2 linked regions of the Kluyveromyces lactis genome follow. The protein of the gene in region 1 binds, or shares a complex with, the protein of each later gene. Links are inferred from orthologs where the notes say so. Each region holds a gene or a part of one and is shown on either strand. Other genes may lie near its edges.

The links. Proteins that work in one complex are often made in the same cells at the same time.
Region 2: GPI2 (region 1) and GPI19 share a complex: the UniProt entries of both Saccharomyces cerevisiae proteins name them as parts of the phosphatidylinositol N-acetylglucosaminyltransferase (GPI-GlcNAc transferase) complex. The link is inferred for Kluyveromyces lactis from reciprocal best matches to the Saccharomyces cerevisiae genes GPI2 and GPI19.

The regions. Positions count from the first base shown.
Region 1 is NC_006041.1:2,090,684-2,095,000, reverse strand, and holds GPI2 (phosphatidylinositol N-acetylglucosaminyltransferase), read left to right. Parts: upstream 1-2,998; coding exon 2,999-3,817; downstream 3,818-4,317. Other genes in the region: PGI1 (glucose-6-phosphate isomerase), read right to left, coding at 91-1,758; KLLA0_E23497g (DUF5315 domain-containing protein), read right to left, coding at 2,295-2,690; TAF5 (chromatin modification protein), read right to left, coding at 4,005-4,317. UniProt on the Saccharomyces cerevisiae protein: Part of the complex catalyzing the transfer of N-acetylglucosamine from UDP-N-acetylglucosamine to phosphatidylinositol, the first step of GPI biosynthesis.
Region 2 is NC_006038.1:87,293-91,659, reverse strand, and holds GPI19 (phosphatidylinositol N-acetylglucosaminyltransferase GPI19), read right to left. Parts: upstream 915-4,367; coding exon 519-914; downstream 1-518. Other genes in the region: PSP2 (Psp2p), read left to right, coding at 1-138; PPZ1 (salt homeostasis regulator), read right to left, coding at 1,593-3,572. UniProt on the Saccharomyces cerevisiae protein: Part of the complex catalyzing the transfer of N-acetylglucosamine from UDP-N-acetylglucosamine to phosphatidylinositol, the first step of GPI biosynthesis. Involved in cell wall biosynthesis.

The DNA.
Region 1 (4,317 bases):
AGTTTATTTAGTTTGGTTGTACGTAAAGATGTGGAATTCTAAGTTCACTGCATATCTTAGGTGAAAAGGAAATTGCATCGCATTCTCACATTAGATCCATTCTTTAAATTGGTTGATCAAACCGTTGGTGGAACTGTCGTGAGAAGAAATCTTGTTATCAGTGGCCAATTCACTACCAATAACCTTAGCCAAAACCTTACCTAATTCAACACCCCATTGGTCAAATGAGTTGATGTTCCAGATAGCACCTTCGGTGAATGTAACGTGTTCGTAGTAAGCAATCAAAGCACCAAGGGTAGCTGGAGTAATCTTTTGAGCCAAGATGGAAGTGGTTGGTCTGTTACCAGAGAAGACCTTGTGAGGTACTAGACCACCAGTGGCACCTTCTGATTTGACCTGTTCTTCATCTTTACCGACCATCAATGCCTCAGCTTGAGCGAAGAAGTTAGATGCTAGCATTTTTTGATGTAGGTTGTTTTCAATTGGGTTATGAGATTGGGCTGCCAAGATGAAATCAGATGGAATCAATTTGGTACCTTGGTGAATCAATTGGAAGAAAGAATGTTGAGCATTGGTAGCTGGTTCACCGAACAAGATAGAACCAGTAGAGTAGTTTGCAAAAACATTACCTCTGGTGACGGACTTACCGTTGGATTCCATAGACAATTGTTGCAAATAAGCTGGGAATCTGTGCAAGTATTGATCGAATGGCGCAACCAAATGTGTTTGAGCATCGAAGAAGTTGTTGTACCAAACAGATAATAGACCACCCAACAATGGAATGTTGTCTTCCAATGGAGTTTCAACGAAATGCTTGTCTACTGCCTCAGCACCCTTCAAGAATGCTTCAAAGTTGTCGAAACCGATGTATAGAGCAACTGACAAACCAATAGCGGACCAAACAGAGTAACGACCACCGACCCAGTTTTCAAAACCGAACATGTTCTTTGTGTCGATACCGAACTTTTCAACTTCAGTAGCGTTAGTGGACAAAGCAGCAAAATGCTTGGAGATATGGGATTGGTCACCACCGTTCTTAGATAAGAACCAGTTCTTAGCACTAGTTGCGTTAGTGATAGTCTCAGCAGTGGTGAAAGTCTTGGATGCGATCAAGAACAAAGTGGTTTCATGGTCCAAATCCTTCAAAGTTTCAGCAATATGAGTACCGTCAATGTTAGAAACAAAGTGTACCTTCAAGTTGGTAGCATAATGTTTCAATGCTTCAGTCACCATAACTGGACCCAAATCTGAACCACCGATACCAATGTTGACAACATCGGTAATAGACTTACCGGTGTAACCCTTCCAAGCACCAGATCTGACTTCTTCGGTGAACTCCTTCATGTGTTGCAACACAGCGTCAACCTCTGGAGTGACGTTGGTACCATCAACGTACATTGGCTTCAAACTTCTGTTTCTCAAGGCAACGTGGTACACAGCACGTCCTTCAGTGAAGTTGATTGGTTCACCGTTGAACATGGCATCTCTCAATGAGGTGACCTTAGCTTCCTTAGCCAATTGGATCAAAGACTTCAAGATTTCATCGTCAACTAAGTTCTTGGAAAAATCAAACAAGATCTTTGAACCATCGTAATTGACAAACGTCTTGGCAAACTTTTCATAACGAGAATTGTCCTTAGCAAACTCGTCCTTAACATTTAGCTTTTTACCCTTTTGTTCGTACAAAGATTGCAATTGGTTCCAGGCTGGCAATTCAGTTGCCAACTTGAAGTCAGAGTAAGTGTTCTTAGAAGCCATTTCTGATATTTGTCTTTTTATTTCTGTTTTAGAATCTATCTTAACAGAACTTTAAAACCTTTTATTGTACTTTACGGTCAGTTAAAAGGTCACTTCAGAATTCAGCGATTAAACCCTAATCACAAATTCCTTTCTACGTGACTCAAGAATACAATCGAAATACCAATTGGAAGAAGCAATTGATCAAGAACCTTCACCAGAGAATATATATATATAAAGAATCCACGATTTAAGTTAACCATTTCCCTCAAATTCGCAGGTGATGGAAAATACCAAATCCTTTTTTTTCTCAACGTTCCTATTATTTTCCATACTACGTTCAATCATCAATTCGTATATCCCATCGTTATTCGGAACAACTTGTAATTTCTGTCAGCTTCCGCTTTTTTTATTTGTTTCGCACCATCCAGTAAACAAATAGTGAAAGGCACGTAGAAGAAACCGGTGGTCCTTGGAAACCTTAGCTTCCACTAATACTCAACAAAAAGTCAGGGTAATTGTGGCACGTGATTCATCACGTGATTTGAAGTATTTATTCAGTTATATCTCTCAATGGTATCTACGATATCATTGATGTGTTTCTGTTGTTCTTCAAGATTTCCTGGGGTCTCTGTTGATTGTCTCTTCATGTGCTGCATCAAGTTCGCATGCATCTGGCGTAAGCGGGTAATATCCTCTTCGAAATTATCCGGGAAAGTAAGGCCAGTATTGCCCTCTCTGGCCATTCTTTTCACATCATCTAGTGTATCTATATCTGTCCATATCCTATCCTTGTCATCCACTTTTGGTGTAGCATGTACGTCGTCTGGAACGGTATCCTTGGGTAAAGTTCTCGGTATGGCTTTAGAATCCGTAGGTCTTCGTTCATTGTTTGAAGATTGCCTGGTTACCTGATCAAACGAATTTGATGTCTCCCTGCTAGATTGATCCATTGGGTATATGTAGCAATGAGTTGAGCAGTAAGTTAGGCTATATCCTTTGTATCTTACTTGTGCGGGTGCTCCCGCTGGCTGTGCTGTGATATTAAGTTGTAATGGATTAGCTTTTTTACGTATCAATCTCTAATTTTAATGATTCGAAAAAGCTAGCGACGACTGTTGAACTGAAGTAACTTCCTGCACTCGCAGAGATTTATCGCGAGTATAGCGGCAAATCTCCAGGTTTCTTTTGTCCAGACTGTAGTGACTATATTGTGCTAGTCGTTTCCCGAATAACAAATTGTCTTCTCTTATAGTTGTTAATGGCTGCGGGGAAACAATGGAAACGGTTATTGTGGTTGAAACAGCCGTTCCCAGATACCTACACTGATCCAAGTTTCTACAAACAATGGGAGAAGTTGAAAATTGAACATGGGCATTTGAGGCCTCACTCCTCGTACAGGTCTGTTTTACTTGATCTCTTCCAGTTTTACCACATGATTATTAATACTATGTTACTCTATATTATATTTGCCTGGTTCTATCATTACAAATACAATCCGATTTTAATTGCTGCCTCAATTTCATCTGTTTCCTTAATAGTTGCCAACAAGAGGGTACCCTGGAAATCCACTATCATCATTATATTTGCAATGTTGACCTTATCTCCAGTGCTTAAATCTTTGTCCAAGACAACTTCGTCCGATTCCATCTGGACTCTATCTGCATGGTTCACAACCTTTTACATCATATCGATCTCCGCTCTTGAATCTAAAATCCTACCGACCAATATTCTACTCTCAAATGTGACCGTACTTTCTTCAAGATTAGATACCTCCACCCAAGTTTTCTGTTTCCTTTTGATATGTATCCAAATTAACATTCTACTGCCGACGATGGAAAAGTATTTCATAAAGAATAAGTTGAAATTCCTGCATATACTATGTGTTATTGCGACACATGGTACAGTCTACTATTTTATAACGAAGTTAATGGGTGTCGGGATCACGATACCTTTGGGAATATCATCTTTGTTACTATTATTTGGAATCCCTCATTACTATATCCACTGGGAAAGCTACTATTATAAAGGACATCCGATTTTACAGCAGTGGGACGCTGAAAAACCAATATTAGATTAGTTATTAGGATTCTGTTAACATTTACATTTCATTGACTGCATTGATATCAATGCACATAAAATATACGTACTCATTGTAAATAATATAAAGATAAAGCGCATTCTCTTTTTTTTTATTTATTACAATTGGACAACTACTAGATATGTCGAATAAACGACCCTTATCTGGCTGAGTAAAGTAATCGCATTTACTCAATAAATGCACCACCAGCCAAAACTAGGTTCGTTCTTGTGAATTTTACTTTGTGAATTGCTGTTTTCTTTGTATGGAACGAAGCCATCAAATCCTGAGTTGGTATTACTGCCCGCCTACGTCCGAATTCTTTGATATCGTTATTTACACTGAGTTCCATATCTCCTGAATACGTGTTGAATTGTTGTTCCGGCTCCATTCCAGGCTCGTTTGTAAACCTCTTTATATCCCAAACTCTAACACTTTGATCCGCACCACCTGTTACTAGACAGTTACCTTCTTTGTTAAAAGTTATGGAATAGATAGGA
Region 2 (4,367 bases), on another chromosome or scaffold:
CCAGCAGCTGGTTTCTTGAAGGATCAAAACAGAGGTGGTCATTCTTCATCTGGTGGTCGTGGTCGTGGTAGAGGTCGTGGCGGCAGAGACCGGGGTGGCAGAGGCGGCAGAGGCCGTGGTTCTTCTTCCACTGACTGAGCGTTTACCTTTTCATAATATCGAAATTTTCCGCAGCAATGCTGGCGCTGTCTAAAACGCGCATTGAAGTGCAGTTGAACGTAAGTGAAGGAAACCATATGCTCCTAAGCTCCTCGTTATTCATCATCTCTATCTGATTTTCACGTAGAAATTATCTTTCGGTAGAGCGAAAGCATCTATATGTTCGTCTTCCAACGAAGTACGACGGGATAAGAAAAGTTTCCTGTCATCCAAATCCCTTGCGTTTCACGCATCATTAATCATTATATTTTGTATAGTATTTGATGTCATTTAAATAGATTACATTATTAACATTTAAGAACGTCACCAACATCATTTTTACCCATACTGTTTTCTTGTTCTAAGGAAGATTCAGAGGATCATTCCTGCAAATAAAGCACTCGGCTTACTTCATTTATGGGTAAATCTGCAACACCGCTAGTTTCATTAGTGATGTACCAATCTAACTCCGAGAAGTTTTTGTATTCAACTATTCTCCCTTGAGTATCAGTTATCGTTCGCATATCATCAAGTGGGACCGTTAACATGTCAATATTATAGGAAAGCATTCCGACGTAAGTGAAAAGCATTGTCATTAGTACAAGACATTGGATGGCTATTAACCAATATCTTTGAGGTAATATCTCGTAAACTTCGGCTATGGCTTGTCCTTGTAGTATAATCTTTGGTAAGAATGCCCACACAACTATAAAGAAGACAACTAATGTGGATGAAACATATACGGAAAATCCGCCATACTGTCTTTCTTTATTCATTTAAAAACATAAGTAAGTGATAATGAGCGTTAATATATTTAGAGATGGTTTGAAGTGATCAAAGTGGAATCAAACATTTGATGGTTAGGTATTATTACTAAATTACTCTCTTATTTTACATTTATATAACGAACGATAGTGTTTATTGATTTTGTTCATCGATTTTTTTTATTTTAGTTTCGTACGCAGTCGACATAGGAAAGGCAGACGAAAATGTTTGAAAATAACGGTAAATGTCACATAGTAGATAAGAGGTGATTTTTTGGGAATCGGTTCGAGCTGGTGTCCTTTCCGTAACACTTGCCGACTTTTTCTTGCCAGTCATTATTAGAAAGATTTGTTTTTGAGGAAAACACTTAGGATTAACTCCTAGAATCGAATATGTAAGTGTTAATCTCCACAGTAGTAGTTACGAATAAAGACGAAGATTAGTAAGGGAAAGCTTCAACATCTGAAAAATATATTTGTTGAATCTCATGGCAAAAACACCCAAAGGACTCTTCACTAATAACTGTCCTTTAATAAGATATCATTGAGATGGTTCTTTTGGTAAGAAATGACGAGAATGTAAAATAAACACTGTAAAGTATTTAATGTGACTGTTAATCAAGCCACCAATGCTAAATTGAGTATGACATCGATATGTGATTGTTGGTAATGAAAACAACATATTGATCTTCACTCTTGTATTTGTTCCAGTTGCTGTTGTTGTTGTTGTTGTTGTTGTTGATTGGCTAGCTTTCTTTCTTGTCTGCCCTTCTTCATGACTTGTTTCAATGCGGTACTATCTAGAGGTTCTAACAACTCGAACGAACACAATAAACCTTCGCTCACGCTCATTACTGCACCCCAGTTATCAAATTCTCCGCAGTAATTTGGAGCAGAAAATACCGTTACCAAACTTCTATCATTGAAAAACTCGTAGCCGTCTTCGACGACCATATGTGCTCTACAAACTAAATCAAAGCCAAACTTATTCAAAAATTTGTTGATCGCAACCTTATTGTAACAGTAAGACACACCACGTTCGTTGTCTTCCCACTCATTTGGAGAATCTGTTGGATCCGACCATAAAAGGTCATTGATTAGACCAAAGTCTGGAACATCAGTAGGTCTGCTTACGTGTCTAATTTCATCCATTGAATTCAATACTGGTGATAATCCTCCATGAACACAGAAAATCTTCCCGGCTACGATCGCAGCTAGGGGCAATGCGTTAAATGTGTCAATGAATGTTTTCCAAGTTTTGATATTACACCGTCTTTTACATTCATCATAGAAACCGTAAACTCTTGTGACGTTTGCGCATTCATGATTACCTCTTAACAAGAAAAAGTTTTCAGGGTATTTGATTTTATAGCAAAGTAAGAGCAGAATTGTCTCTAATGACTGTTTACCACGATCAACATAATCGCCTAGGAAAAGGTAATTAGCTGATGGTGGGAAACCACATTTTGTGAATAATCTTAACAAGTCTGCGTATTGTCCGTGAACATCGCCCACAATTTTAACCGGTGGTGATAGTTCTAACAAAGACGGCTGTGAGAGGAATATTTCCCGTGCCATTTGACATATCTGCGTGATTTCTGAGTTTTTCAATGCTACTGACCTTGTTTTCTTCGCAGAATAACCGGCATCCAACAATTTTTGAATTGTTTCATCAATATCTATGGGCTTAATCGGTTTCTTTTTCTTAGGCTTACCTTCCGCGTTCAGTTCAACATCATTTCCAAGCCCTTCTGGATGATCATCTGTACCTCCGTTAGATACACCTCGGTAATCATTCCCATTGCCGTCATCGATTTCTCTTTGGCTTGCTCCAGCTGTATCAAAGTAGTCCTGGACATCGGGATCCATTGCATTTAGCCCAGGAGACGCCATTGGTGTGCTATATTGACCCATTGACATTGAAGATTTCCGACTATGAGTGCTCGATCTAGATGAAGACCTGCTCATCTGGATTGGTGACCCACTTGTGCTATTTCCATGGTTTACCATGCTTATGCTGTTTCCAGACTGCGGCACTTCCAAATGATGCGCACTACCATTAGACCTTCTCCTTGAAGACGAACTGGCACGGCGAGCACTGGAGCGGTGGCGTGATGAAGATGATTTATAAGATATCGAATCATCATTGTTATCATCGTAATCATCATCAGTTAATGCATTCTCATAGTACAGCGGGTTGTTAGTAGACCCTTTTAAAATTGGGGTCTTTGGAGCCATCTGAACCATTGAAGGGGGCAAATCGCCGGTCGTTGAAAAACTGGAAGATCTCGCAGTCTTAAGTGTTTGCCCATTTCTCTCGTCTTCCTTTGATGCACTTTGACTGGAACCGTGTCGTGACAAAGGAAGCGTACTGCTATTTTTCCTGCTCAGGGATGTTTCGTGGTTATTAGCCGAAAGCTTCGGCGTTCCTGGATTAGACGGCGATTGCAGCTGAGATTGAGATCGCCTTGATTTCAACGATCTGATGGACCTTCCTGATTTATTTGATTGCATGGTATCACTTTTTTGCAATTGAGGCGAAGTATCCTTTTTCGAACTCACCTCACTTGCTTTCGAGCTACTCCTGGATTTAGATCCATTGGAAGACGCAGATTCTATTTTCTTAGACTTGCTAGCCTTTTTAGATGGTTTCGAGCCTGAATTACCCATAGCTGCTTTATGATATTCCGTCTATTTCTTTTGGGTTTATTGGGGAGCTGATTTCTTCCTCAAGGCCGGTAAGTATCTATTTCTCAGATAACCTTCCGCGTACTAACTTTCTGTCGTTTCTTGATACAAGTATAAACTGATCTAAATCAAAACAGAGATCAATGAAGACGTCAAGACCGACTCTTCAAATAACAAATTAACGAAAGCAAAATTTCAAACTCAAATATAGATTTCACAATGAAGCAAACCAGAGAGTGACAGGGAAAATAGTCCAACGTAAGAGAAACAAATAAGATTATTCACAGTTGACCACTAACGTTTATCCAGTGATGCTCTTCAAATTGAAATAGTTTGGAAATAGCACACACGAGGGTAGAACTTGAATATATTTTCTAGTCACGAAAGGTAAGGAAACAACAATAAAAAAGTAAAAGCCTAGTCTCAGCAGAAGCACAAAAAATATAGTAAATTCCTACCGAGTTAAACCTTTCAATACTAGACCTTATTAATTGTCTAAGAGTTGATCTGGTCTTTTTGAAACCCTTCCGACTTATTCGCTAACATAGAAATTCTCTAAACTCGTACAACCCTACTTTATTTAAAGCTCCTTTAAAGAATTAGGAATCATACATTTTTCAGTTTTTTTTAGGGCCTTTAATCATCGTCATCATGTACGGGTTTGATGATTTTATCTGGCGGTTTTCCCGTTTTCCCGTTTTCCTAACCTATTTGAACATGTGAACCCTTAGCAACTAGCCAGCGATGGCAAATGGCTGTCAAAATAATGATATATAG